Anolis sagrei: one gene and its partner. The protein of the gene in region 2 interacts with the protein of the main gene of each other region in a pairwise test. Links are inferred from orthologs where the notes say so. Each region holds a gene or a part of one and is shown on either strand. Other genes may lie near its edges. The genes, in order: EIF5A2 and DHPS.

Region 1 (15,469 bases), about 130 Mb from region 2:
ACTTAGGATTCCATCACTTCTGGGGCAAGGGGTAATTAACAGAAAAGTAACATTTCCGTAAGTTAGCTGCCTCAATACATATCAGCTGTATACATCCTTAGGATGACAGAAGCAGGGAGAAATGAGCAGGAATCTTCAGATACTGTGACAGAAATAATTATCTCAATTGCTTAGGCACAGTAGATAACTCCTGTAGGATGTTTTGAGAATGACTAATGATACTAGCTGATGAAGCCTGTGTTTCAAACTGGGACTTCCCATTCCTACCAAGACAACTGAAAATCAACTACCTAGGAATACTGACATGATTGGACTAACAATGATAAAACCCTTAAACTTTCTAAGTAGCCCTAGATCTTGAAAATATAGTTATTTAACATTATATCAAGACTGTGCTTTATTCAAGAGTGTTTATTGCCAAACCAATCTGCATTGTGCCCCTTCTCTGCATAGATATTTGCTCAGTTAAATCTAAAGAACGGGCGGAGCTCATAAAACCCATGCTTCAAATCCCAGCAGTCCTAGCCAGCACAGCCAATGGTAAGGAATGCTACAAGTTGCAGCCCAACAATATCTGGAATGGTGCAGATTCCTGTCCCAACCTGGAACTTACTGCGAGATCCTCATGGTTCGTTTACATCTCTAGTATAATTTTTACCGACTATGGGCAACCACATTCCCAAATAAAACTCAAAAACCTGTTATCCTAGCCCACCCACCACAAAATGAACTACACATGTTTTAAGAACCCAGTCACTAGTTCAAGTTAGTCAGATGCTACCAATATTTAAGGCAAATTTAAGTCATTAGGTTTCCCCAAATGCTAACTAAGCAGAAGTATGATCTTGCAAGCAGAAGATCGTGTAAATTAGCGATTAGGCATTTGTCTGTTCAGTGTAACCAAGTCCTGCACAAGTAGATTTTGAGTCAAAGTAACCCTGTTAAGTAGCCCTGAAGTTCCCCAGTATGACAGAACGCCGAACCATAGTTCTTTAGCAGGCCTGGCGTCTGGTGACCTAAATTATTTGGGTGAAACAGGGTTTAAATTTAGCCTCCATACAAGCTGCCATTATGTACACTTTTGTTCCAATTCCTAAAAAGAAGCCAAGCATTCTACTTGTGCTACAAAACAAAAACTAAAACCCAAAACAAGTACGCATACTACTGAAACACTTGAGGCTTTCCCTTCTTTTAAAACAGAAGAGTAACTGAACTCCATGTTGAAATCAAAGGCCTCGCGTGAATCACACCCCTAACCCCTGAACATTTGTGCACTATTTAACCAGAGTATGAAAGCACCCAATATTTTGGATGTTTGCATCACAGGCAAATGGCAACATGTTAAGACCGAGCCAGCAGGACTACAGAGATACAGACTGTTGCACATGGCCATCAGCACTGGCATTTTGATCATAGGTGTTCCCTTTCTCTAGCTCAGTAACTAGTCACAGTTCAGTGCAAGCCACATTTCAAAATGTTTAAGATAAAAATTGTTATTTTCATTTATTTAAAACGTTGTACTTAAACACTATTCTTAAATCCAAACTTAGTACTACCTTGGTATTGGCACTGCTATACAGTCTCTTTCGAGTAAAGCACACTATTTTAATACCTCATGATCTAAAATGACAGTTTTGACTGCCTTGCCATTCCTGTAAGCACTTGAACTTCAGCAATTTTAGTATTGCCAAATGGCTTGCAACATTAGTCAGCATTATTTTCAAACAAAGACACGAGGTTGCTAGTGAAGGTTATAGCTTTGGTGATAATCAGAACTAAAATACAAGATCTGCAGTTGCTGGAACCTGAGCAACTGCCCAAATCCAGATGGTCCTATTTGCAAGGTTTTATGGCTACAGCACATTCTTCGCTCATTGCACACATAACAGAAACCTACAGCAGGAAAAAAACAAACACATAGTTAGATTATGTGACTGAAGTACATTAAATTACATTTGCTTCAAGAGTAACTGTGCCAATGGTTTGGTGAAACTTAAAATAGAACTATTGGAACCAGAACTTAACATTTAGCAAACCAATCTCCACCCTCATTAAAATATGAATCAGAATAAAATATGAATAGGCAAAGGAAATGATTTTTGAGTAATTGTTAACTAACAAAAAATATTCGAAGAAATATTTCATCTAGTAAAGTTTTACCTGGAAATCTTCGCCTGCATTGTATTTTCCCTCTATTTCTTTGCCTAGTTCACCTTCTGGAACCTTCAGATCCTCACGAACGTCACCACTTTCGGTCAATAAAGAGAGGTAGCCATCTTGGATACAGATTAGCTGTGGGAAAGTTGGTAAAACAATCTTAGTTAATAGCCATCTGAAGAAATTTGAGTCAATGGGGCAGGCATTTAACCTCAGCTTCAGCTATTCAGACTTACTACTACACAGTTTTATAATCTGACTCTGAGTATTGCTCTTAGAAAGTCAAGAGAACATAGCTTCACTTAACTGGGGTAGTTTTTCTAAACCATGAATTGAATATTTAGCTTTTCAACCTGCTGAGTCCCACTATTGAGGGAAAGGTGGAGGGAGAATAAATAGTTACTGACTGAAATGTGGCAGCCATCATCATCAGGGTTAAAACACACAGAATGTAATCTTTGTTCTGAGACACAGAACAAAGATTGACACCAATCCTAACAAAATGTAAAGTTAAAATTCACAATTTAAAAAACTGACTGGGCAGACCTGCTGGGAAAGAGTTAAGTCTTCAATTAGTGTCTGGAGTTCTGACAGCTCATTTAGATCAATAACTACTGCAGTCAAACATTTAAAGCAGTGGTTCTCAACCTGTGGGTCCCCAGGTATTTTGGCCTACAACTCCCAGAAATCCCAACCAGTTTACCAGTTGTTAGGATTTCTGGGAATTGAAGGGAAAAATATCTGGGGACCCACAGGTTGAGAACCACTGATCTAAAGTCCCAAAGGTCAAGCCATGGTCTATATTTTCATGTATACTTACTTGGTAATCATTCCTCTTGATATTTGGGACATCCATGTTGTGAGTAGAAGGACAAATATCTTCATATTTCTTGCCAGTGAATACATCAATACCAACTAAATGGACCTAGGAGAATATTCACAAGTCAGATACTTAGAATACAAATAACATGCTACCCTTGTCTTGTTACCCTCAGCTCACTTTGGCTAAAAAGGAATTTGAGAGCATGACCTTTAATTTTCACCTCAGTCAGACTACTCTGGCCTAGTTGGGATTATATGAATTCTGAACAGTTGCGAAAAACATCAGGTCTGAAGGGGTGGATTCTCCAAAGGAATGACATCACAAAGATCTGACACAGGAGAGCCCTTAAGCTTTGCTGATGTCCTTAACACATACCATTTTGCCAATGAGGGACATGCTGTGATTTTTCACACTTTCTGCCCTGCCAAGTTGGCAGTTTAGCACTTCTTTGTGCAAAGAAGGTGGAGAGTTCTCTCCTCTTGAAAAATGAAGGCACATCAGTCTCCATGTGTAACCTCCTTATCTATTCCTAGAATCCTCCAAGTCTGGAAGTTTTCAGAGAATTCAAGCAAGAGGGAGAACCCCAAGCTGTCTCTTTCTGCCTGCCTAAATGCATCCATCAGGCAGGAACACTATGATCGAAAAGCAGAGAGGCAGGGCCAGTTACTCTGGATAGGGGTTCTCTTAAGAAAAGCTGGTTAAACAATTTGAGTGGCTGGTCTTAACTTCTGGGGTAGGAAGGTGGAATTACACAGTCCAGACTATTCTCATTCACAGTCCAGACTATTCTCATTGGAATATGATGTACATTCATGCAAAGAACAGAACTGTTTATTGATGGACTATGCTTCTAATATCGGGAAATTCACATCTCACTCACATGTGATACAAGATGATTATCCAGATCAGAAACAGAATAAGAGGGCAGCCAACTAGGATGGAAATGCCAGTAAGTGGCAGATTATTTAAAACTGAGGTTGCACAAAATGCAACTGAGTATAAAGTTTGGTATTTGACGGCTGAAATTTAGAGACATTTGTGGAATAGAACAGAAATGAAGGAAGAGATTACCTTTGCATGACCATGCTTGCCAGTTTTGGAAGTTGACATCTCCACAATTTTGCAGGGACGTCCCTTCAGCACAACAAAGCCATTCTTGCGAAGAGCAGAACACTGCATTGGGTAAGTGGCAGATGCACCAGCATCTCCAGTGGTGAAGTCAACTTCATCAGCCATGGCAGAAGTGTGTTTCAGAAAATACTAAAATTCAACAGTTCCTTATCAGTCGTTGAACACATTTTATCCATCAGTTATATCATCCAATTACAATGTTTACAGAACATATGGCAAATATGGATTCATATTCTTCCCACTGCTATCACAGACCAGAAAGTTGTCCCTTTAAACCATGGATACTCTAACTAGGGATTTAATCCCATGGTTACAAAATATTCCAGGGAAAAATATATCCAAAAATGAAACCTTCAATTTCTCATTTTATACGGGGGACATCACTTTACCATGCCATTATACAGGGAGTCCTGTATACAAATAAGTTTGGTAGATTTGTTCTCAAGTCGAATTTGTATCCAAGTCAGAATAGGTACATTTTAAGTGTAACTCCAGCCAAATAAACATATCTTTTAGTTTTGGATAGCATCGGGAAGGGTTAACACCCCTGTGGTGTTTGTTTTGCTGTCTGTGCCCCTATTCAGAGGATTTCGCGTCACTTTCTATTCATTTGCACCTGGTTTCATTGGCATTATTTCTGTTTCCAGAGTTTTTATATTTATTTATATCCTGCTTTATCTCCCCAAAGGGGACTCAAAGCGGTTTGACATAAAAGCATTGGTATCCATTTTAAAATATACAAATATAAAAATATTAAAACAGAATTGCATACAAACAGTATTTTAAAAATTCAGTTGAAATCCATACATATTCAAAGTTAAAAACCATAGCACCCGCTGACTAGATCTTAAATACCTGCATCTTTAAATGCCTGTTTGAATAAAAAGGTTATAGCCTGCTGCCAGGACAACAGGTCCTTGGGCAGGGAGTTCCAGAGTTGAGGGGCAGCCACCCAGAAGGAAGGCTCACTCTCTTGTTTCCACTGACTGAGCTTGAGATGGAGGTGGGATTGAGAGAAGAGCCTCTCCCAAAGATCTCAGGGTCCAGGCAGGTTCATACAAGAAGACATGGTCAGCCAAATAGCCTGGACCTGAACTGTCTAGGGCTTTAAAGGTCATAATCAGCACTGAATTGTGCCTAGAAGCAGACTATTCTAGAGTACCCAATTACTTTTGCTGAAAGCACACAAGACAAGGAAATAGTGATAATTTAACCAAGACCCTCATCTTCAGAGGCATTTCAAGTGCTGTGAGGTATAAATAGGGTATGTTTATTACCATCATAAATTGTCTGTGAGTTGTCTGGGTACCCCACTGGAAAATATGTTGGACAACTACAGGACTTCTGGGCAAATGCAGCCAATTTTCAAATAAAAAGGAGGGAAATAAATCTCAAAGGTGAGACTTAGACAGAATATACAATGTACCTTACACGATTGTATGTAGGCTTTCATAGATTGAAGGTTTCAGAGAAGGCCAACTTGAGGGTAAATTCTGCCTTATTTCATTCCTTTTAGCAGTCTTCATTTTATCTGTGTAACACTTTCAAGGGTTGTAGGAGATGCTACAGGGAAGATGGAACTGAGAAGTCCCCTTGAGCCACACAAATGCAAGCGTCTAAATCTGGGCCCACTGCTACCTTAATCTGTATGTTTAGCTATGGTACACTTTACATGGTTGCGTATATTTCAATACAAATTGCCTTGGGGGATGAGACCTAAACAACGACACAAGGATCGCTGTGTTTTTGTTTTTTATTCGTGCCAGGAGTAACTTCAAGTTGCTTCTGGTGTGAGAGTTGGCCATCTGCAAGGATGTTGCCCAGAGGACGCCCAGATGTTTGATGTTTTAACCATCCTTGTGGGAGACTTCTCTCATGTCCCCGCATGGGGAGCTGGAGCTGACAGGGGGAGCTCAACCTGCTCTCCCCAATTCGAACCGCTGACCTCTTGGTCAGCAGTCCTGCTGGCACATGGGTTTAATCCATTGTGCTACCAGGGGCTCCGGGCATAGCTGTGATAAATAGAAATGCTTGAACAAACCGGACTATGTTGTGTACAACATAGAGAGAGAGGAGTCTTGCTTATCTAACCTTTGGTCATGCAATGTTCTGTATTATCTAATGCACTCTGCCTCCTGCCCAGATCCACAATTGTTTCAATACATTGCAATGTTTTGATGCTAAATTCATAAATACAGTAACTACTACATAACGTTACCACATATTGAACTACTTTTTCTGTTGATTTGTTGTAAAACATGATCTTTTGCAGCTTAATTTGTAAAATCATAATGTAATTTGATGTTTAATAGGCTTTTCCTTAACCCCTCGTTATCCAACATTTTTGTTTATCCAACATTCTACTGGCTCGTTCATGTTGGATAAGCGAGTCTCTACGACAATGGTTCTCAACCTGGGGTCCCCAGATATTTTTGGCCTACAATTCCCAGAAATCCCAGCCAGTTTACCAGCTGGGGGATATCACACACGCACACACACACTAGTCGTCCCCTGCTACGCGTTACTGTGGCCCAGTCTGTGTATATGTGTTTTGTGTGTGTATATATGTGGTTTTGTGCATGCACTGTAATGTATTATTTATTTTTTGGCTTTTTAAGTCTCTTCTGCTGTGTTTTTATGAGTAATGGTCACTTGTTGGCCTGATAGGCGTATTGTGTCCAAATTTGGTGTCAATTCATCCAGTGGTTTTTGAGTTAGATTAATCCCACAAACTAACATTACATTTTTATTTATGTACTAGCTGTACCAGCCACGCTTTGCTGTGGCCAACCTTCCCTTTCTCTCCTTCCTTCACTCCCTCTTTCTTCCTGTTCTTCCTTCCTTCTATATCTCTTTCTTTCCTTCCCCCTTTTTCTCTCTTCTGCTGTCTCTCTTTTCTTCCTTCTCTACCTATTTCTCTCCTTCTCTCTTTGCTTCCATGCTTCCTTCTCCCTTTCCCTCACTCTTTGTTTTCTTTCTTTCTTTTTTTCCTCCCCTTCCCTCCCTTTTCTGTATTGTCATTTACCTTTTGGGGCTTTTTAAGTCCCTTCTGCTGTGTTTTTCAGTGTTTTTATGAGTGAAGGACATACACTGGGTTGTTAAGTGTCTTGTGTCCAAATTTGTGTCCAATTCCCCCAGCGGTTTTTGAGTTCTGTTAATCCCAAAAACGAGCATTACATTTTTATTGATATAGATTGTGTGTGTGTGTGTAAAATTGGAGGGTAGCCCATCACCTGCACTTTCAAAGATGCATGAGTTCTGTTAATCCCACAAACGAGCATTACATTTTTATTTATATAGAAGATGTGTGTGTTGAAAACTGGAGGGTAGCCCATCCCCTGCAACTTCAAAGACGCATGAAAAGAGGAGCAACTGCAGAAGGCAGCCATCCAATGGTGCCTTTGCTCATAAAACTCCTTCTAACTGACCTGCCCTGAGGGAAAGGATGGCAGAAACATTCGAAAGCAGCGAAATGGGCCAACTCCTGCCCTCCAGGTGCTTTGGACTACAACTCCCACAATTCCTAACAGCCTGCCGGCTGTTAGGAATGGTGGGAGTTGTAGTCCAAAGCACCTGGAGGGAGGGCCGAAGTGGTGGCCGTGCCAGCAGGCCTGCGCAGATCTTGCAGACTCAGGGGCGCCTCTTCCTCGAAACCTGAGTCACGCCTTGCCACGTTATTACAAAATCAAGGCACCCAAGCACGATGTGGAGGAGGAGGGATCACTAAGGGACGGTTTTGGGATCTCCATTTCCCAGCCCTGTGGTATGAATGAGCGCCGAGCTTCCTTCCAGGCCTGGATTAACCGGGTACGGAAAGCGGCGTGGGCTCAAAAAGGCTCCGCGGGTACGCGCGAACGCCGGGCCTCGCGCCCACTCCACTCCCCCCTCCCTCCTTTCCCCCCTCCCTTCCTTCCAACGGTCGAATGGAACGAAGAAAGCGCCGCGCGCGCCGGCGTCAGGGAAGCGCTTACCTTGTACGGCACGGGAAGGGGGAAAAAAAGACCGAAGGAGCGTCGCAGCAACGCGCACGCGCACAGCTGCCGGAAAGGGTGCCGTCTTTTGCGCGTCGAGGCGGTTGGGGCGTGGCCATCGAGGAGGAAACCCTGCGCATGCGCTCTTCACCCCCAGACTCCCACTTCTTCCTCTCCTGATTGGCTACTCGTCCCCATCGCCCCGCCCACTCTGTTCTCTCCAGCGTACAGCTCGTCGGTGTCGTCATTGCCCTGCGCGGATTGAGCCAGGGCTTTCTCCCCACCCCCTCTTCTCCTCCTCATGCGACTTCCACGTGTGGTTTTTCTCTTGCAGCTTGCGCTGGATCATCCCTGTACGGGAAGCCGCCTGACTCAAAAAGTCTCAGTTGCTTCGCGCGTTTGCTGAGCTTGCCATGAATTCATGAATGAATTCCTATGCACACTGCACATATCTTATTTGTAATGCAAAAACACACTTTAAAACAATACAATAATTAAAATGAAGAACAATTTCAATAAACATGAAAGGCACTGCAGACTAATTCAACCAGAGAAGTCAACCATAGCAGAGCACCTGATGAACCAGCCTGGACACAGCATATTATTTGAGAACACAGAAATGTTGGACCACTCCTACAACCACCATGTCAGACTACACAGAGAAGCCATTGAAATCCACAAGCATGTGGACAATTTCAACAGAAAGGAGGAGACCATGAAAATGAACAAAATCTGGCTACCAGCATTATATTACCAGCATTATAAAACTCTAAAATTGCAACAGCACAACAACAGAGAGGATGCAGGAAGGGGCATCTAATTACCTCTCAACAAAAGTTTGCCCCAGGCACAGTCAGGCCATTGTATGCTAATCAAGGTGGTCAGTTGAAACATTCACACCTAGCTCTGACAGACAAGTGTCCTTTGTCTCACCCTGGTCATTCCACAGATATATAAACCCATTTTCCTAGTCCCAACAGACCTCACTACCTCTGAGGATGCTTGCCATAGATGCAGGCGAAACGTCAGAAGAGAATGCCTCTAGAACATGGCCATATATCCCAAAAAAACCTACAACAACCCAGTGATTCTGGCCATGAAAGCCTTCAACAATACAATTTCAATAAATATAAGATTATTAGTATCTCAATGGGAAGTGTGGCCCTGCTTTTGACTGGTGAGATAGGATTGTTGTGTGCTTTTAAGTCGTTTCAGACTTTGGTTGACCCTGAGCGAAGGCCAGGTAAATGACCGTGGAGGGCTGTATTCTGTGCCTTAGTTTGAGGACCCCTGTCATAGATAATAGGGAGCAGGCCTACTTAGTGCTACCAATACTGAGGGCCTTTCCAGACAGCCCTATATGCCTGAATATCAAGGCAGAAAATATGGGAAGGAATCCCACTGGAGCATTGCAGGGCACCAAAAAACCTGGGAGTCACTCTGGACCGTGCTCTAACCTACAAGAAGCACTGCCAGAACATCAATCGAAAAGTGGGTGCTAGAAACAATATCATACGAAAGCTGACTGGCACAACTTGGGGATCACAACCAGATACAGTGACGACATCTGCCCTTGTGCTATGCTACTCTGCTGCTGAGTATGCATGCCCAGTGTGGAACACATCTCACCACACTAAAACAGTGGATGTGGCTCTGGATGAGACATGCCGCATTATCCTGAGGTGCGCCCTACACCACTGGAGAAATTATACTGTTTAGCCGGTATTGCACCACCTGATATCCGCTGGGAAATAGCATCCAATAGTGAAAGGACCAAGGCAGAGACATCTCCAGCTCATCTCCTGTTTGGGTATCAGCCAGCACGTCAACAACTTAAATCTAGAAATAGTTTTCTAAGATCTACAGAGACACTCGCTGGAATGCCTCAGCAAGCGAGAGTCCAAAAGTGGCAGGTTCAAACCTAGAACCTCAACCAGTGGCTGATACCAAATGAGAGACTCCCCCCTGGACACACAGAGGACTGGGCGACTTGGAAGGCGCTGAACAGACTGCGCTCTGGCACCACGAGATGCAGAGCCAACCTTCAGGAATGGGGCCACAAAGTGGAATCCTCGAGATGCAAGCGTGGAGAAGAGCAAACCACTGACCACCTGCTGCAATGCAACCTGAGCCCTGCCACATGCACAATGGAGGACCTCCTTGCAGCAACAGTAGAAGTACTCCAAGTGGCCAGCTACTGGTCAAAGGACATTTAATCAACTACCAAACTCACACATTTTGCATTTTGTCTGTTTGTTTGCTTTGTTCTGTTACAAATGTAATATAATTGACTGGTTGCCCTGACACGACAAATAAATAAATAAAAGGCAGAAAAATTCCACAATATCTGCATTGAACTGAGGCCAGATCCAGACAGGCCTTTATCCCAGAAGCATCTGCATTAAAATAACTCTGATGTTTCTGGGGGCCTGTCCATACCCACCCCATAAAACTGGCCACTTGGAGTGCCTCTCCAATATAGTATTATATTACAACATTATTATATTGTTTTATATTCCAATGTTAGTAATATATGTGTATACAATATATTATTAGCATGGGACAATATTAGTATCATTATATTTTACTATACTACCCACGGATGTGAGAGCTGGACCATAGGGAAGACTGAGCGAAGGAAGATTTTTGAACTGTGGTGCTGGAGGAAAGTTCTGAGAGTGCCTTGGACTGCGAGAAGATCCAACCAGGAAATAAAGCCCGACTGCTCATTGGAGGGAAGGATATTAGAGGCAAAGATGAAGTACTTTGGCCACATAATGAGAAGACAGGAAAGCTTGGAGAAGACAATTTTGCTGGGGGAAATGGAAGGAGAAAGAGGGGCCAACCAAGGGCAAGATGAATGGATGGGATCCTTGAAGTGACTGGATTGACCTTGAAGGAGCTGGGGGTGGTGATGGCTTGCAGGGAGCTCTGGCGTGGACTGGTCCATGAGGTCACGAGGAGTTGGAAACAACTGAACGAATGAACAACAACAAAGGGTTAGGGTAAGGGGTTAGGCTTAGGCTTACAGTACGGTTCAAGGTTAGGCCAAGGGTTACATTCCTTCTATATCTGTCTCCAGCCTGGCTTACATTAGCTAAGTCTCTCTTGTGCAAACAGCGCTCCCGAAGAAGCGATGTAGCATCTCCGTATCGCTCAGAGCTTCTGGACCCAGCTATTATACTATTACCCAGAACTTGTTGACTGAAAGGTCAGTGGTTCAAATCCAGGGAGTGGGGTGGGTTCCTGCTGTTAGCCCCAGTTTCTGCCAACCGAAAAGTTTGAAAACATGCAAATGTAAGTAGATCAATACCTTCTGTAGGAAGGTAACGCCACTCCATGCAGTCATGCTGGCCACATGACCTTGGAGGTGTCTACGAAGAACGCCAGCTCTTTGGCTCAGAAATGGAGATGGGCACCACCCCTCCAGAGTTGGACATGACTAGACTTAATGTCAGGGGAAACCTTTACCTTTACTTATACTACTATACTGCAATATTATTAGTAATATGTATAATATATTTTTTATTTACAGAAGGCAAATGAAAAATCCAATATGTACTACCTGGCTTTCACAGTATTCAACCTTATTTATCTCACATTTAGCAGCAACTTCCCATCGCACATCCGGGGGGGGGGGCAATGTCAGCAAGCTTGTAGAGTTTATCAACAGGTAGTATAGGTTTAAGACACACTGTGATTATTCTGTATGTTTCATTCATGTTTCATCAATATCCTAATGCACGAACTATTGTATGGATCCCACTCTTCATAACATGAAGGATATATCATGAAATAGGAATATCATTCTTCACTAGTTTTCTCCTTGAAGAAAACAAATAGTTTAAACAATTTTCTTCCCACGGAGAGAAGATTTCTCAAGGCTGTTTCCATTTCAGGACTTACTCTGTGCAACAACAATGATAAAGAAATATGTGATTGACAATGGATTTTGAATTCTTACTCTGGACTTGGATTTGGACTTGTCTCTTTTAAATGGTCTTTTAAACTTAATGATGATGTTTTAATTAATGTTTGACTGTGTTTTTATTGTTGTTGTTTGCATCTAATGGTTGCTGGTTGTAAGCTGCCCTGAGTCCCCCTCAGGGTGAGAAGGATGGGATATAAATGTCTGAAATAAATAAATAAATAAATCTAACACATTTTCGTTTTATTCAGAAACTATTATTTCTCTGTGGAAATACTGTTGTGTGCCTCCAAGTTGCTTCCGATTTGTGGGTATTCTAAAGCGACCTTATCATAGAGTTGACAAGCTGGAATGTGTCCAGAGGAGGGCGATTAAAATGATCAAGGGTCTGGAGAACAAGCCCTATGAGGAGTGGCTTAAGGAGCTGGGCATGTTTAGCCCGAAGAAGAGAAGGATGAGAGGGGATATGATAGCCATGTATAAATATGTGAGAGGAAGCCACAGGGAGGAGGGAGCAAGCTTGTTTTCTGCTTCCCTGGAGACTAGGACGTGGAACAATGGCTTCAAACTACAAGAGAGGAGATTCCATCTGAACATGAGGAAGAACTTCCTGACTGTGAGATCCGTTCAGCAGTGGAACTCTCTGCCCCGAGTGTGGTGGAGGCTCCTTCTTTGGAAGCTTTTAAACAGAGGCTGGATGGCCATCTGTCAGGGGTGATTTGAATGCAATATTCCTGCTTCTTGGCAGGGGGTTGGACTGGATGGCCCATGAGGTCTCTTCCAACTCTTTGATTCTATGATTCTGTGATTCCTTGGAGAGATTTGTTCAGAGAAAGTGCCTTTACCTTTCTATGAGGCTGAGAAAGTGTGACTTGCCCAAGGTCGGCCAGTGGGTTTCCATGGATTTGAATCTTGGTCTCCAGAGTCATTGTCCATTGCTTAAACCACTACACCATGCTGGCTTTGTCAATCCAGAATCGCCTTAATGATACTGCACGAGAGTACTATGACCTCCCAGATTTTGGACTATTGGCTCTCTCTGGCCTAGCCTTTATAGCCAATGGTGAGGGTGAGACAATATATCTGTTGTGCGGTTTGAGTTGGTGCCATGATCATTGACATATTCTGTTGAATTGCAGATGACAGGAAAAATGTCTCCAGTTAACCACAGAGTTGTATCACCTGTAACCTTGGTATGTTTGATGAAAGAACAAACTCTTTGGATTGTTGTAGGTTTTTTCGGGCTATATAGCCATATCCTAGAGGCATGTTTGATGAAAGCACAAACTCTTTTTCCTGACTAAGCTTATTTTTAGTCTGTGGATACAGATACTGCTTGGGACATTATCTCTCCTCACTTTTTGCACCAATCATTTGCAAAAGTCAGGCTGTAGCTTTCCTGGCAGGATCTCATACAAGAACAGGAATTCATTTTCAGCATTATAAAGGAGAGGCACAGCTTTCCCATGACCTAGGCTAGAAGCAGATGAAAGATCCTCCCATCATGCCAATTGAAATTGTCCTGACCTTGAAGACAGGGAGAAAAGACAAGCATAGTTCCATCATAGAGCTGGAAGAGATGCCAAGGGACATTCAGTCCAACCCTCTTCCATGCAGGAACACATAATCAAAGTACACTTGAGAGATGGCCATCCAGCCTCTGTTTAAAAACTCCCAGAGAATGAGACTCCACTACCCTGCGAGGCAGCATATTCCACTGACATAATTTAAAATATGACTAACATGTCTCCTTTCAGTCTTCTTTTCTCCAAGCTAAATATAACCTAATCTGTCAGCTGTTCCTCATATGGCTCAGGTTCAAAATCTTCCATAATTTTAATTACACTTTTCTGGGCATGTTTTAGCTTGTCAATATCCTTGAATTGCAGTGCCCAGAACTGGCAACAGTATTCCAGGTGAGGTTAGATCAAAGCAGAATAGCGTGGGGCCCATTTGTTTCCCTTACTCAATCTAGACACTGTACTCCTGCTTCTGAGCCCAAGTATGCCCAAGTATGCATCACTAGATGAAAGGCCCATGGAAGGAGAGAACAAGGAGTATGTGCTGAGTACATACGTTCAGCAGATACCTCTTCTTTCCTAATTTTTGCCCTAAGATCTGCCCGCAAATCATTTATTTGGTTGACCTTGTATATAAGTTTAGGTAGGTTTGTGGGAAAAATTATGGGGTTTGATATGACCCTTACATAAATTGAAAGTAATTTCTTGGAGAGGGAAAAATGCCAATTTTGCCCCAGGGCTAGCCATCTCTGTCTGCCCAGGCATTAAAAAGGGTTGGTTTTTTTGGTCATTGTACTCAGTGAAGGGAATCTTTCCCTTTTTGCTAAGAATTACGGTACGGTACTTACACAGTACGGTACGGTACTCCATGCAGTCATGCCGGCCACATGACCTTGGAGGTGTCTACGGACAACGCTGGCTCTTCGACTTAGAAATGGAGATGAGTACCACACCCCAGAGTTAGACATGACTGGACTTAATGTCAGGGGACTACCTTTACCTACCTTTACCTTTACTTACACTGTGTATAAAATGTCCCAAGTTTTGGGGGGTTGACTTTTTAAAGTGTCTAGATTTATATATACAGTAATTTCATCCCAGACTGCCACCCCCCTTTTGTGTCATATCTGAATTAGGTTGTAAGTCCAAGGATAAGGAACTAGGGTTTTGTTTTGTTTGTAAAGTTCCATGTACATTGATGGTGGTTTAGAAATAAATGATAAATTAACATAGTAAGTCCAGTCTGACTGACTTCTGATACAAAGTATGGTCAAGTATGCCAGCTTTCCTTATACCAGTCATCACAATGATCATGTAAGGATGGTCACTGTTAATAATAATTCTACTGATGGTTGCAATGCAGTCCTATGCATTTTTATTCAGGGATTCCATAGCATTCACAGTGGTTCACTCTGTAGTAAATACCTCTCTGATTACAGGCTGATACTTGCTCAATACTATCTGTAGTGTCGGCATCCATTGAGTTGTGACTAGAAGGCCTGAATTTGTTATGGTGCTGCATTTTTACATTGCAGCTGTCCATAACACATTGCATTTCACCTCTCCCTTGGGCAATTACTAAAACCAGGTTTCATTCAATTAAAAAAAAATTGAAATTGGCAGAAAATAGTTAAAACCAGACTGAAATGTTTTCCCAATCATACACTTCTTCACATCTAAAACTTCTTGCAGATACCAGGTTATATCTTCCAAAAAGGCAATCCTGTTGGATGATGTATTTCGTGGTTTTGTTCAGCAGATGGTGCTAGTGATTTTGAAAGAACAAGGCAAAACCTAGCATATGATATCAGACAACATCTTTTTAGTTCAGCCAAACAATGCTGGATATATTGAAGTTGTTTGTAGAGATGCTTAATTGTATCACAAAAAAGTCATTCAAGCTGCATAGAGTCCTCAAAGGAATACTGAAATGAAAAAA
Region 2 (15,633 bases):
TGCACATTTTAAAAAAGGAAGTTATGCTGCCTCACCCTGTATAAGTAGAGCAATAGAGGCCTGGACACTTCTGGAAATCCTAGGCCTATCAATCCAACAGGCATTTCTTAGCACATACAGCTACTGCTACATTTACCATCAGTCCAAAGGACAATCGAAGTGTTGGCCAACCCAAGCTTCTTAAAGAGAGAAGATGAAGGCAGTCTTTAGCCATCACTTGGCACCAGAGGCAAAAGAGACTTTCAAACACCCTAGAGAGATGTCTTCATCCAGCCGGTGCTCCCTATGTAATGTATTGTTTTAAGTTACCTCAGGATAGTCCCGGGTGGAGTTAACCCTTCATTCGCCTTGTTTCAGTAAATTTATTTTGGTTATCTTTTTACCTCGCCTCAAAGTGCTTCTGTCTGTTAAGGGTTCTAAATCTCAATAGAAGGTAACAGATAGCCACCGAGTAAAGCCAGAGAATATAATTTTCCACAAAGGCTCGGGTGTGCCATCACAGTATGGCCCTTCCAAACTGGGTGACTACATCGTCTCCAATTTTGCAATTGGAATACCAAAATAATATTTCCATATGGATACATAATGGGATACATATACATAACAGCCATGCCTTTCCTTACATAGTGAGATATCTTAGAGATGGGACCCAACTCTAAAGAGGAAATAAATCTGTGCTTCATATACACCTTATACACATAATCTCTTTTAACAACTGTATTCATGTATCAAAGTTCGTGTGCACTGAACCATCAAAAAGCAAAAGACTCTATATCTCCACCATCTATGCTGAAGTATATTTTAGATTTCGGAGTATTTTGGATATTCAGAATTTAAGATAAGGGATGCTCACCTTGTATATGTAAATGTGTACACATAACGTACACAAGCACATGTAATATTTTCAAGTGGGGCAGGTCATGGATTGTAAATACACAACTAAAACTGATCAATTCCTTAAGCAGATAGATTTATATTTTATATACATAAAAGCACCACTGCTCTATCTTTAGGCAGAATTATATTGACTGAGAGGATTATGAATTACAATGTACAAAGGACAGACAGGCAATTATTCTAAGCCCTAAGAAAGAATCCCATTTACAAGGAAATCCCACTGAGATCAATTTGAAATCAAAGAGTACTATTTTAGTTTCTTTAAAATCCATACTTTCCTGGTTTGAATGTTTATAACAGGAAAAAAGCCAAATTCATTTTGAGTGACGAGTGGTAGTATAGAAAAAAGAAGATTGTCACAGGTCACATTTTACAAAAAAGGTAGCAATGAAAATGTTCTGGCATTGCTTCCAGAAACTCTGTGTGTAACCCAGTCTTTCAATACCCATCTCTCTCTATCCTTTTCTGCTCTGTTGCTTTTGATGTGGTCTTGGTTTGTTTTTAAAATAAAAGTCATTACTTTACTTGTTACGGGCAGAAAAATTCAGTTAAAGGTCATATTCCAGACTGCTGTTAGTATTTCTCACTTTAGATCATGTACTAATCTTGTACATGGGGTTCCATGTGCTATTGACATCTGTCTTTCTCTATTTTCCATATTATTCATGTACTCAATAAATGAAAAACAAGCTGCTTCAAATGAGGGATTATCTTTGTTTGCTTTTCTGACCTGACAGGTCAGCTTCTCTATTAGAGTTAACTTCCAAGATTTATTACACCGGTTTTCTGTCATTTTTCCCCTTCCAATTACTAACTGTAACCTGTTTGGCTGTTCTAAGTATAAAACAGACTAAAGCTTTTCTGTATATAGAATACTTCTGTATTCCTGGGTCCATAATGATGTTTCACAGGACTATCACATTCACATCTTGATCCAATTCTCCTTTTGATTACAGGAATGGAAATATGGACGACGAATTGGATCACAATTCTAGTTATGAGATGTATTACACTGTCTTATTGTTATGTCAATTTTGTATACTATGCTCTTATGGTTTTAAATTGTTTATCACTGATTGTTTTTTATCCTTGTTGTAAACCGCGTTGAGTCGCCTGTTGGGCTGAGAAACGGCGGTATACAAGTAAAGTAAAATAAATAAATAAATAAATAATAGGTCTTCCCAGGTGAGGGAGATAGTGTGGTACCCACCACAAATTACAATAAGAACCCAAAGAACCACATCCCCATCAACACTATGCTGATCTGACACGTCATTGTTTTTATTATACCTTAATTAAATGCTCTGTAATACAGAGACACTGATTTTGATTTACTGGAAATCTGGATTTGATTTCAATCTTCATTTTAGGCATATCCTAAATCTTTTATAAAAACAGTCTCCAGGTTATGATCAAGATAGGTTCTCTAGATTTGTTCTTAAGCTGGATTTGTATGTAAGTCAGAAAGGGGACATTTTAAAAGTGTAACTCCAGCTAATTTTTTGTAGCTTTGGATAGCATAGGGATTTGTTTTGCTATATGTGCCTCAATTCAGAAGATTTCACCTCACTTTCTGTCCCTGTGATAATAGGATTTTGAAAAAATTGGCTTGTTGTGGAAACAAGGATTGGCAATAAAACTTCAATGGAGACACTTTTCCCCCATAAGGAGTGAATTCCCCTTCCGAGGTGTAGATTTCTCTCACTTTCTCAGCCTATCGGTGACTCAAGGCGGTTTCCAACAAAACAGTATACATAGTATCATAATACAATTTAAAACATTAAAATTACATAAATCTCACAACAATAAAAACAACATCATTGGTGTCTCCTTATTGTCAAGCATTGTTCAGTTCCATAATCAGTCATCAGTTCCTATATCAGTTATCTGTATCCGTTACTCTGTTTGTGAACGCTTGCTCAAACAGCCACGTTTTGTGTTGCTTCCGAAACGTTAAGAGGGAGGGAGCAGATCTAATCTCTCTGGGGAGAGCATTCCATAGCCAGAGGGCCACCACTGAGAAGGCCCTGTCTCTCGTCCCCGCCAAACGTACCTGGGACGAAGGAGGGGCCGAGAGCAAAGCCTCTCCGGATAATCTCAAGGTCCTAGATGGTTCATAAGGGGAGATACGTTCGGACAGGTAAGTTGGGCCAGAACCATTTAGGACTTTATAGGCTAGAACCAGCACTTTGAATTGTGCCCGGTAGCAAACTGGCAGCCAGTGGAGCTGGCGCAACAAGGAGGTTGTATGCTCCCTGAGAGCCGCTCCAGTTAGCAATCTGGCTGTTGTCCGTTGGACCAGTTGAAGCTTCCGGACAGTTTTCAAAGGCAACCCATTTCAGACTTAAATAATAATTATTCACTGCCTTATATTCTTGATTATTTGTACTATTAAATATTTGAAGCTAGAGAATCATTGAGCCATATCTTATTCTTTTTGTACCACATGCTGAATCCTAACACAAGTATTAAAGACAATTTACTTTCAGCGGATGGCAACAAAGATGGCAAGGACCTAACAGAAACTGAAGAGATCAAGAGAAGGTGGCGAGACTATACTGAAGATCTGTATAGGAAGGATAATAATATTGAGGACAGTTTTGACAGTGTGGTGAGTGAATTTCTTTTTTTCCTTTTGGCAGTTGATGGTATCCATAGAATTGTCTTCATCACAACATGTCAAATGAATTTATTTTCCTGCTGTAAGCTTTCTTCACTGTCCAACCATGCATAGCCTCTGGAAATACTAAGGTATGGGCCATCCTGACTTGGAATTCAGTAATATATGTTTATATTTAAGGATCTTGTCTAATACCTTCATTGCAGAATTTCTAATTCTAGGTGGGATAAGGAACATGTGAGCTAGCCTATTAGTTTCTATGCAGCTTGAGTCTTGATGACATAATAACTCAGAAAGAAGGCAAGTTTAGTGAGTGAGCGCTTAACCACAGAATGAATGCAGTTTGACACTTTAAGTGCTGTGGCTCAATGCTATGGAATCCTGGGGTTTGTAGTTTGGTGAGACAACAACACTTTTTGGCAGAGAAGACTAATGAGAAACTACAAGCCCTGTGATTCTGTAACATTGATCTATGACAGCTAAAGTGGTGTTGAATTTCATTCATTCTACAGCGTGGCTGCACCTTTTGTCCTCCAGTGCTACTCTATGATCAACTTCTGCTGCAAAGCAGTCACAGAATTGTAATGGATAACCAAAGGCACATCTATGCTCCAGGATTCATGCAGTTTGACACCAGCGTGATATCCCAGGCTCAATGCTATGGAATTGTGATGATTGTAGTTTGCTCTTTAGTGTTCCCTGCTGCAAATCCAAGGATTCCCTAGCATTGAACCCAGGAGTGGTAAACAGTGGTTCTCAACCTGTGGGTCCCCAGGTGTTTTGGCCTTCAACTCCCAGAAATCCTAACAGCTGGTAAACTGGCTGGGATTTCTGGGAGTTGTAGGCCAAAACACCCGGGGACCCACAGGTTGAGAACCACTTTTCTAGTGTTCAGGCCCAGGCTATTTGGCCAACCGCATCCCATTGTACGAACCTGTCCAGGCCCTGAGATCTTCAGGAGACGCCCGTCTCTTGGTCCCACCTCCATCTCAAGCTTGGTTGGTGGGAACGAGAGAGTGGGTTTTCTCTCTCATTGGCTGCCCATCAACCCTAGAACTCCTTGTCCAGGGAAACCAGAATGGCCTCTTCCCTGCTGTCCTTTGGGCACAGTGGTCCTCCAGGCGTCTTGGACTTCAACTCCCAGAAATCCCAACCAGTTTGCCAGCTATTAGGAATTGTGGGATCTCAAGTCCATAACACCTGGAGGACCAAAGGCTGAGAACCACTGTTCTGGCAGCAAGCTAAAACCTTTTATTCAGGCAGGGGTTTAAAGATAAATGTGTTGTAATTTGTGGTTTATATGCTTGTATGGTTTTATCTTGAATTGTTTTTAATAGTAACGATGTTGAATACTGTTCCAATATTTGTACATTGTATATTTTAAGCTGTGACTCATTGTGACCCACTTTGAGTCTCTGTATGGCGACAGAAGGCGGGATATAAATAGGTAAAGGTTTCCCCTGACATTAAGTCTAGTTGTGTTCAACTCTGTGGGTTGGTGCTCATCTTCATTTCTAAGCCAAAGAGTTGGCATTGTCCATTGACACTTCCTAGGTCATGTGGCCAACATGACTGCATGGAGCGCTGTTACCTTCCTGCAGACCTATTGATCTACTCATATTTTGCATGTTTTCGAAGTGCTAGGTTGGCAGAAGCTGGGGCTATCGTATTGATATCGTATTGTTTTTCATGTTTTCCTTTCCAATTAACAATGTTCAAACAAAAGCAGAGAGTGAGAGAGACTGTTTAGGTGCTCTGGGTGCTGCTAAAGTGCTCTCAAACCACTTTAGCTCAGTTGATCAAATGCTTGAGTGTAAATTGTTTGTGGATTATTTACAGGTGAAGTAACTTCTACGATGATCATCATGACAGACATCAGTAGTCTCATGGTCTTTAAAGATAATGATGTTTCAGTTATCTGCTATATTAAAAAATAAATATAGATTTTCCAGCAAGAGCAGGCATAGGCAAACTTGGGCCCTCCAGGTGTTTTGAACTTCAACTCCCACAACTGCTAACAACCTCAGGCCTTTTCTGCTTAAGTGGCTGAAGGGGAAAGGAAGGAATTGTGGGAGCTGGAGTCAAAACACTTGGAGGGTCGAAGTTTGGCCAGGCTTGGTGTAGCTGTATACGGAGAGATGCCTGGAGAGGTGGTACACATCGGCCAAAGTGGGGCTGCCCTCCTGCATGAGAACAAAGAAGGAGGAATGGCATTCTGACTTTCCCCATCTCCTCTCACCTGCGGCCTGAAGTGGGGCAGTCCAGAGTCCTGAAACGCCAGCTCGATTCCAACATCTTTGGCGAGAAGGAGGGAGAGATGGGAGAGAGAAAGGAAATAGGGGTAAATGGGAATCACCCCGAGGTGGTCCTTGGCCTCCCCATGGCGCGGTGGCAGCCCTTCACGTGGCGGTGGGCGGAAGGGGCGCCGGGCCCTGACTTGGGGGGCTGAGAGGCCCGCTTGACCTCACAGTGCGAGGGAGAGGCAACCAATGCCCTCCGCTCTGCCTTACCCGCTGCAGAGCCGCGTTAGAGGCGACTTCCAAGGCAGGAGGAGGTCCCCAGGCCCGCGTCCTTCTAGTCCTCCCCTCTCTGGCTGAGGCGACTCCTCCAGACACGCACGCCTTCACCCCTCTTTTTAAGCGGGTCCCGAGAGGCGAGGACAAAGCCGGCTCTTTCGCGCTTCCGTTGAAAAGCGTCCCTCCCAATCCCGCCCCCCGCCCTCCCTTCACAAAGATGGCCGGCGGAAAGCTTCACCTTTGGGCGGAAGCTGGCCAAACAAGGCTTCCCTTCCGGCCCAGGAAAGACAGCCAAGTGGCTCGTAAGCGGGGCAGCAAAGAAAGCGTTTGGATGAAGAGGTTTTCTTTACCCTCTTTCTTTCCGTAGGGGCAAAAGAGGAAGATGATATGGAGGCGAAAATGAAAGGCGGTGTTGCTTCTGGGAGGGCTACCTGGTGTTTTGGACTTCAACTCCCAGAATTCCTAACCGTTGGCTAGTGCAGCAGAGGCTTCTGGGAGTTGAAGGCTAAACTCCCCTGGGAGGCCAGACAGCTTTCCTGTAGCAATTGAAGCGCTCCCTTCAGACTGGGGGCCCTTCCACACAGCCATATAACCCAGAATATCAAGGCAGAAATCCCACAATATCTGCTTTGAACTGGGTCATCTGTCTGGGTTATCCACATTGTCATATAAAAGGTAAAGGTTGTCCCCTGACATTAAGTCCAGTCAGGGCCGTAGCCAGAAAAAAAATTCGGCGAGGGTTGACAATTTTGGTGGTGGTGGTGGTGGGGGGGGGGGGGGGTGGTGGTGGTGGTGGTTGAAAATTATTTCGGGGAGGGTTGAAAATTTTGGGGGGGGGGGAGTTGAAACCTGCCTCCTAGCTCAGCTGAAGCAAAGAGCACAGCAGGGGGCAGAGCAACCTTCCATAGCCTGCAGCTCCGCCCCTGTCAATCACCTCCACCAAGTCTGGCCTCCTTAATGAGAGCATTCAACACACACACACCCAACTTGGTTGCTTCACTACATCGTCTATTGCTGCAAGTAATGACAGTGTGAATAAATTGTCAATATTTGCTTGAGATAGTTCTTACAGTTCTGGAGGGACTCTTAATTTTTTGCATCTCATAGACTTAGCATGGGGATTTGGTTAACCAGTTAAAATTCATGAGTAAACCAGGTTTTTTAAAAAAATCTGAAACATTTCGGGGGGGGGGGGAGTTGAACCCCTAAAACCACCCCCTCGCTACAGGCCTGAGTCCAGTCATGTCTGACTCTGGGGTGTGGTGCTCATCTCCATTTCTAAGCCGAAGAGCCAGTGTTGTCCATAGACACCTCCAAGGTCATGTGGCCGGCATGACTGCATGGAGCGCCGTTACCTTCCCGCTGGAGCGGTACCTATTGACCTACTCACATTTGCATGTTTTCGAACTGCTAGGTTGGCAGAAGCTAGGGCTGACAGCAGAAGCTCACGCCGCTCCCCAGAATTGAACCTACGACCTTTCGGTCAACAAGCTCAGCAGCTCAGCACTTTAACCCACTGCGCCACCGGGGGCATATAGTCATATAGTCCAGTTCAAAGCAGATAATGTGGTATTTTATTCAGCTGTGTGGAAGAGGCCTGAGGGCCAGTTTCTGGTAGAAGATTGGTCTGTGGTAAGGATTGCATTGGATATCTTCTCCCTTTGTTGACTAGACACTTATTTGCATATATAATTGATTAGTTAAATCCCCGTGTAGGCACCACAGCAGAATTATAGCACTTTGACATCACTTTGGGCCCTTCCAGACAGGCCGTATATCCCAGGATCCGATCCCAGGTTTTCTGCTTTAAACTGAATTATATGAGTCTGCAGTGGGTAATTGTATTATACCTGGGTTCGGAAGGTCCGAGCATTACGCTGTTTCCACTTTGGGGCCGCTGTTTGCACAACGCAGAACGGAACATGTGACCGAGATGGGGGTAATGTAAGCCAGGCTGGACACAGATGTTATAGAAGGAATGTAAGAGTTCTTTAATGGTAAAACCCTAATCCTAACCCACAGGCCCGTAGCCAGGATTTCGATTGGGGGGGGGGGGGGTGAGTTTTTTTCAGGGGGGGTTTCGGGGGGGCTGAGTCTGAGTGAAAGAGGGTTTACCCTAGCAAACCTTTTGTATCATTACCCCAATACCCCCATGCATATGGGATATATTGAGTATGGTGATCAGATCATGATATGAATAAACATAACAGTTTAAATAATGCACCAGTAAGGCCTTTTCGCAAACCACCATGAGAATTTCGGGGGGGGGGGGGGCTGAAGCCCCTCAAGCCCCCGCCCCCCGGCTACATGCCTGCTAACCCAAACCCTAAACCTTCCCCTAATCCTAACCCTAAACCTTATCCTAACCCTCCCCTCCTTTGTATCCTTCCACCAAATGCAACTTTGAAGTATATTCCCGCCCTCATTGTGCCGCTCCCCCGCTCTCACTCCGCCCCCTCTCTAGACCACGTGGTCCTTTCCCTTATTCACAACCGCCATTGTGGGATTGTGCATTATGCTCGTAGCTTCCGGACACAGCTATTGTACTATCACCCCACACTGCAAGATAATCTGGGATAAACAGAAAACCTGGGATCAGGTCCTGGGATATAGCACCTGTCTAGGAGGGGCCTTTGAACTGCCATAGGATTGTGGGGTTTATAGTTTGTTGTGGCCCCAAAGCTCTCTGATAGAGAATAGTAACAATAATAATAAATATTTATTGATATCCCACTTTTTTCCCACGAAGGGACCCAAACATGTTAAAATACAATAAAATACAATACAAAATCAATCAACAACACAAATACAAAACATAATGAGCTAGAGATAAAACATAAATAAGTTAAATATCGCACAATCCCAGAATTGTACAGCTCTGAGGCCTCTTCCACACTGCCCCTATGTCCCAGTATATGATCCCAGGTTATCTGCTTATTCCAGATTATCTGCCAGTGGAGACTCCTATTGTAGTGAAATCATATTTACGGGAAATCATTTGTTCTCATCTTATTGGCCCAAATCCACTCCTGTGCAATGCATTTTTACCTTTAAGCAATCATCTTACACGATGTATATTCAAGAAACCAATCCATTTGTGCTTATGCGTTTATTAGCTTTTTACTATGTGATACATTCAAAGGCACACCTCCCAGGTCAAGCAGTGTGCCAAGTTAAGCAAGTGAAATCCCAATTAAGCAGGTTTTTTTTTAAATATGACTTCAGGCATCTTCCTCAATTCCTCAAGCATCTTCCTCAATTCCTCAAATTTTCTTTGCACACAAGTTAAGCATTAACAGCATTCTTGAAGCAAAGCGGTTTCTTAACTAAAGCATTTAAAATCAATTAAACCATTCTTTAAGCTTCCTAAACCCCTTTAACATAATCTCGTTTAAAACAGATATAGGGCAATGTCCTGGGATACAGGAAGGGGCCTGAGTCATGGCAGTCAAAGTGGTCTCAAACTGGTCTGAGTTGCCCAAATAAGGTTAGCCAGACTGAAAACTGGAGAGAGGCCCCCTGTGTCTTCAACAGTTTTGTAGAGGAAGAAATTTCAATTGGTGTGTATTTTACTTTTCCCCCCACCTTTCTCCTGCCCAGGGTTTGAGGCACCGCCTGACTCAGTTTCGGCTTGCCATGCAATGGCCAGATCACAAGCAGCACCTGATGAAATGTTCTCTTCCCAAGAGCCTTCTCCAGTTTTCACTCTAGCGTCTAGGTCTTTGTGTTCGTCAATACATTGAAAAATGACAGATTTTATTCCAGAAAATAAAACTAGATCCAGCCACCTTGCACGTACCGTAGGCAGAACAAGAAGTGGTGCTGAAAGCACCTGGGAGTTTGTCAGCTGGGGGTTTATTGTTTAATAGGCACAGTAGGTGCTCATTTTCATGGGATTTCAGCACATGAAGAGGTGGCATTTAAGCGTTTTCTCTCCTGCTGTGGTCCTGACAGCCCACCTTCATCATGACGCTCCTGGCTTTAAAATAAACAGAGCAACAATTGAATTGTTTTATGTGTTTCTCTTGGTTTTCCTGGCCTATAGCCAGAGGGTGGGAGGGCAGTTTTTTCCTGCAATTATGACACTGTTATGCAGGTGATACCATGTGTATTTATATGTTGGTGTAAATTGCTTCTATATCTATAGAAGTCAAAGTATGTAAAATAGAGTCTCACTTATCCAAACTTTGCTCATCCAATGTTCTGTATTATCCAACACATTCTGCCTCCTGCCCAAATCCACAGCTTTTTCAAAACATTGTGATATTTTGGTGCTAAACTCGTAAATACAGTAATTACTACATAACATTACCGTGTATTGAAATGCTTTCTCTGTCAATTTGTTGTGAAACATGATGTTTTGGTGTTTAATTTGTAAAATCATAATGTCATTTGACGTTAAATAGTCTTTTCCTTAATCCCTCCTTATATCCAACATTTTCACTTATGCAACGTTCTGCCGGCCTATTTATGTTGTATAAGCGAGAATCTACTCTATATACGTTTGTTCGTTGGTTTGTACAACAAAGGTTATTTGGCTTGATGGATCTAAACTTGGCACACATACTTTTAATTTAGAGATTTGAACTAAAAAAAACAACATCCTTTTTTGAACTAGAGCTGAGGGAAAGAAAAGGAATGAAGTGGATTGGCTGTTGCTAGGTAAAGTGGCCCTTTGTCATGTGACCGGAAAAGAAAGGGAGCGAAACAGAGTGGCTGTTGCTAGTTAAGATGTATGAGCGGAAGTGTGGAAAGAGACAAAGAAGGGTGAAGTCAGAAAAAGGAGGGAAAGCAGGGAAGAAGAGAAAGAAAACAGGGAAAGGTATGAGGGGAAGAAAAGAAAGAAAGAGGAGAAAATGTACAAAAGTGAGGGAAGAGAAAAAGAAATGAAGAGCAACAAAGGCAGAAAACAGAAAGAAGAGGGGGAAGCTGTATGAGGAAAAGCAAGGAAAGAAACAGAGGGGACAAGGTGTGTGAGGGAAAGGAAGGAAGGAAGAGCCATGATGAGAATACAAAGCTAGACAGCATTGGGTATATGTGTATACACATATTTTACAGCTTTTAGCAATCCCTGTCAACTTTTTGAACTCACTTATTGCTGCATTCACCTTTTCCTATCTTTGCCTGGCCCAATTCAGAGCTCTACATGTTTGCTAAACTTGTGTTTTAAGTTTATTCTCCACTAGAGCTGAGCAAGTGTGGTAGCTTTGGGGCACAGTTTTCTGATCTGGAGACCCCCTAGGGAATGTGCAGACTGCCAAAAATGCCAGGGTTCTTTAAAAAAAAGTTAAAATCTGTTTAAAAGCTTACAGGAGAGGCAATTCAACCTCTCCTTTTGATCAGGGAAAATTGGTTTCTGAAGTTTGGAGTGACTGAGGGATGCTAGCAGACTGCCTCCAAATGCATTTTATCCACTCCTTTTCTACCCCAGTGTATTTTACTTGCCATTTCTATTTCCAATCTTATTATCTCTGTATAGTGTTTTTCTAACCCTGACTCACACTTTTTAATACTCTCTAATGGGGCTGATAGAGAAAGTAATTTGCTCACCTTTAATACAGAAGACGAAGAAATGAACAGCAAATCAGATGCCTGCCACAGAATTACAAAGGAAAACCACCCAGTTGCTTGTAGAAAGCCATTTGTTGCTTGATCTCTCGATGCTTAGACGTCTCACAATGTTCATGTAGTGAACCAACAGTTGCTAAAGCAGGTGTTTTGAGTTCCCATATTGTCAAATTGCCAATTGAGAGTCTTTCTTAATGTCTGTACAGAGGAGATATTTCTCAGCTACTGACAGTCTTCAGTAAACTAGATAGCTGCAGCAATGGAAAGCATGTTGTGATGCCCACACTAGATTGACTATACCAATGGTTCTCAAACATTGGTCTACTGGATGTTGGGGACTTCAACTCCCAGGCGCCCCAACCAGCATGGTTAATGGTCAGGAAGTCTGGAAGATGAAATCGCAAACACCTTGAGGATCAACGTTTGCAAGACAGGGCCCCACACCACGGTTGGGAATCCTACATCCCTCTAGATGTTTTATACTGTTATTTATGCTGTAAGTCATAGCTGTCCTTGGCTGTTCTGGTTAAAGCTCCTGTGAATTGCAATCGATTAACATCTGGAGAGATGCATGATTCCCACCTTTGGCCTCTATTCTTCAGTGGTCTTGGAGCCCTTCAGATAAAATGCAAAACCTCTGAAGTTTTGAAAATTAGCAGCAGCCATTTGGAAAGAATAATTTTCTCCTCTCTTATTTTTACTACATCTCACTTCGTCTTAGCAAGGGTTAAAGTGTAGTTGATTCATGGAGGTGTGGGAAGAATAAAGCAGCCAGACTACAGCAGTGGTTCTCAATCTGTGGGTCCCCAGATGTTTAGGCCTACAACTCCCAGAAATCCCAGCCAGTTTACTAGTTGTTAGGATTTCTGGGAGTTGAAGGCCAAAACATCTGGGGGAATCCACAGATTGAGAACCACTGGACTACAGGATCAGGTGAAGTCAACAGTTTATTTCTGGCCAGAAACACATGACAGTCCAACTCTCACTGGAAAAACAAACTCACACTCAAAAACTAGGTGTGTTGCCCCTTTTATACGCTTTTCTAAACTTACGTTTCAATTGCCTTGAAACCCCCTGTTTTACAAGAAACTATTTGTACCTATTCTATTGGCCAATATGCATTCCATATTTATCTTAAAAGCAATCAGCTTACATTACATTGGCACTAAGTATGGCATTGAGGAAGAGCCATATCAAGTTAAGCAAGTTAGGCACAAGTTAAGCAAGTTTAGGCAAATTAGTAAATATATCTCTTCTGTTTCTTTACATACAGTTAATCATTTAAAGCATAGGCCCACTCAAAAGGAGTATGACATTGGCCATTTTTCTTTCATCTCATAGGGACTTGCCTCTTCCAAAAGAATGAGATAGCTACCAACTGTTTTCTCCACTATCCTGTTCAGAAGAATATGGTTTACAAAGACCCAAGGATCAAAACAGGTTCATCTGGGTAATTTTCAGGAGATACTCCACTGAGGCACTGGACCTTAGCACAACCAAGTAATAATAGCATATAGCTGCCAATTGCAGCAGACCTGGGATCAAAAGTAATTGTGACAATTGGGAATTCCACCCTATTCATCATCAATGGGAATGTTTAGCTTTTAAAGTTGTTAGATATGCCAGATAATGATCAGGGATCTGATGGCCATGAGAGAAGTGAAAGAAGCAATCTGGGAAACTGAACTCTCATTAATTGGTATAATTTCCTCTTGTGGATTTGTAAAAAAAAAATGGCATTTCCCCATTCTTTGTGTGATAAGCAAAGTTTGGTTTCTTCTTCCTATCCTTTGCAGATTCAATTCCTAGTGGACTTGCTGTTTTGCAGCTTTTACTTTATGCTTTATTTCTACTTCCCCTTTGCTTTCAGATGTATATTTTTATGTGCAACACATTAAACAGCTGAGCTGTTGAACTTGCTGACCGAAAGGTTGGCGGTTCGAATCCGGGGAGAGGGGTGAGCACCTGCTGTTTGGCACAGCTTCTGCCAACCTAGCAGAAAATATGCAAATGTGAATAGATCAGTAGGTACCGTTTCTACAGGAAGGTAATGGTGCTCCATACAGTCATTCTGGCCACATGACCTTGGAGGTGTCTGTGGACAACGGCGGCTCTTTGGCTTAGAAGTGAAGATGAGCACCATCCCCAGAACCGGACACGGCTAGACTTAATGTCAGGGGAAACATTTACCTTTACCCATCATTGTACACACACAAGGCTAGCACCAGCAGCTCCATATAGTTGTGTTAGTCTGTTGCAAAAGAAAAAACACCATCTTAATGACAAAGATTTTATTTGAATTAAGTTCTTTTGGATTGTGCTTCACTTTTTTTATCACATAGGGGCTTTAAAGCATTCAGCCCTGAATTCTGCCGCCTGCAGAACTCTGAGAAATGTTGTTTAGACCTTTTGAATTCTCAACTACAGAGGTATTAACCTTCCCAAACTACATTTCCTAGAATTCTGCGAACTGCAGAAATGTGGGGCTGCCCTGTTTAAAGCCCTGGTGTCATAACATGGAGATGCAGTTATATCTGATTAAGTAGACTGCTTCTTTGAAGGTTCTGCCAGATAAAATGCCTCTATCCTTTAGAGGGCACTTTTTTCATGTGTTTCTTTCAGGTTACTAGCATTGGAAATTAGCCAGCTGAGATCCCATACTAATAATTTATTGGATATCTTTGGGATAATTCTTTAATGAGTTAATTGAACTTACTTTCCTGGGTTGTTGTAGGTTTTTTCGGGCTATATGGCCATGTTCTAGAGGTATTCTCTCCTGATGTTTCGCCTGCATCTATGGCAAGCATCCTCAGAGATAGTGAGGTCTGTTGGAACTAGGAAAATGGGTTTATATATCTGTGGAATGACCAAGGTGGGACGAAGAACTCTTGTCTGTTGGAGCTAGGTGTGAATGTTTCAACTGACCACTTGATTAGCATTTGATGGCCTGACAGTTGTTTTTTTTGGGGGGGGGGGTGGCTTGCTAGTGCCTGGGGAAATCTTTTGTTCCAACAGAATTTCTAGTTCCAACAGACCTCACTACCTCTGAGGATGCTTACCATAGATACAGGTGAAACGTCAGGAGAGAATGCCTCTAGAATATGGCCATATAGCCCGGAAAAACCTACAACAACCCAGTTACTTCCCTAATAATTGACTGGTGCTGGAGTAATTCTCTTTTTCACTGTCTCCTAATATTAACCTGCCAAGAGTTTAAATTGAAACATTTTGACTTTCATAATTTCTATAAAGTTACATATATTGCAAGGAGTCTAGTATATCAAGAATCTGTATTTCCACAAGATCATAAAGTGTAACAAATCCAGTCTTTCCTCATCTTTGTAGAAATATATGAGAATGGAGAGGGAGCTATAGATCCCAGTTTTCATTTCTCTGCACATTCGAGTGACTCGAATTTACAGAAATTATTGGAAAGCCAAATAATCCAAGGTTACTGCTTTACCACTTCAGCCTTTTCCTTCTTTAGCAGTAAAAAGAACATTTGTCTTCATATGGGTAGAATAGAGACGAGACCAGCCTAAAGCCAACCAGGGAATTTGGTCTCTGTTCCCTGAGCCTCGCTTCAGTGAATTATTTTTAGGAGTGTGTCTTTCTCTGTAAGTGTCTAAGCCCAATTTCTCTCCTGCCCAGGACATGATAGATTTTTAAAAAAATGTTATAACTCTAGAATTCAGACAAAGACTGCCTGTAACCTGTCCTGCCTCACAAGGTTGAAATGCATTTGTGTTGGTTTGTCACACCTAGGTATTGCTTTCTTTGAAGTATTATACCATTGCATGTGACCAAAGTCAGTACACTGAGATGAATGATCCTTCATTTGACTCTTTGTCCTATTATTGCTGAGGAACGTGAAATGCCATCTCCATATAGAAATGTCCTTCCTCACACAGAGAAAAACAGGATGCTTTCACAAGCGTAGCAGGTAGTCCACATTGCTCTCTGCAAGAATATCCCATAACTGCTGAATTAGAAAGATAATGAAACACATTCAACTCTCATGAGGTACTTTTA

The links.
Region 1: the proteins of DHPS (region 2) and EIF5A2 interact in binary tests that used the Homo sapiens proteins (3 or more experiments, as listed by UniProt). The two-hybrid records come from large-scale screens. The link is inferred for Anolis sagrei from reciprocal best matches to the Homo sapiens genes DHPS and EIF5A2.

What each region holds. Positions count from the first base shown.
Region 1 is NC_090023.1:252,241,077-252,256,545, forward strand, and holds the start of EIF5A2 (eukaryotic translation initiation factor 5A-2), read right to left. Parts: upstream 8,192-15,469; 5' UTR 8,083-8,191; intron 4,241-8,082; 5' UTR 4,217-4,240; coding exon 4,052-4,216; intron 3,083-4,051; coding exon 2,978-3,082; intron 2,293-2,977; coding exon 2,161-2,292; intron 1,894-2,160; coding exon 1,834-1,893; 3' UTR 1-1,833. UniProt on the Homo sapiens protein: Translation factor that promotes translation elongation and termination, particularly upon ribosome stalling at specific amino acid sequence contexts.
Region 2 is NC_090023.1:121,338,450-121,354,082, reverse strand, and holds the start of DHPS (deoxyhypusine synthase), read right to left. Parts: upstream 6,237-15,633; 5' UTR 6,028-6,236; intron 5,813-6,027; exon of another isoform or gene 5,757-5,812; intron 1-5,756. UniProt on the Homo sapiens protein: Catalyzes the NAD-dependent oxidative cleavage of spermidine and the subsequent transfer of the butylamine moiety of spermidine to the epsilon-amino group of a critical lysine residue of the eIF-5A precursor protein to form the intermediate deoxyhypusine residue.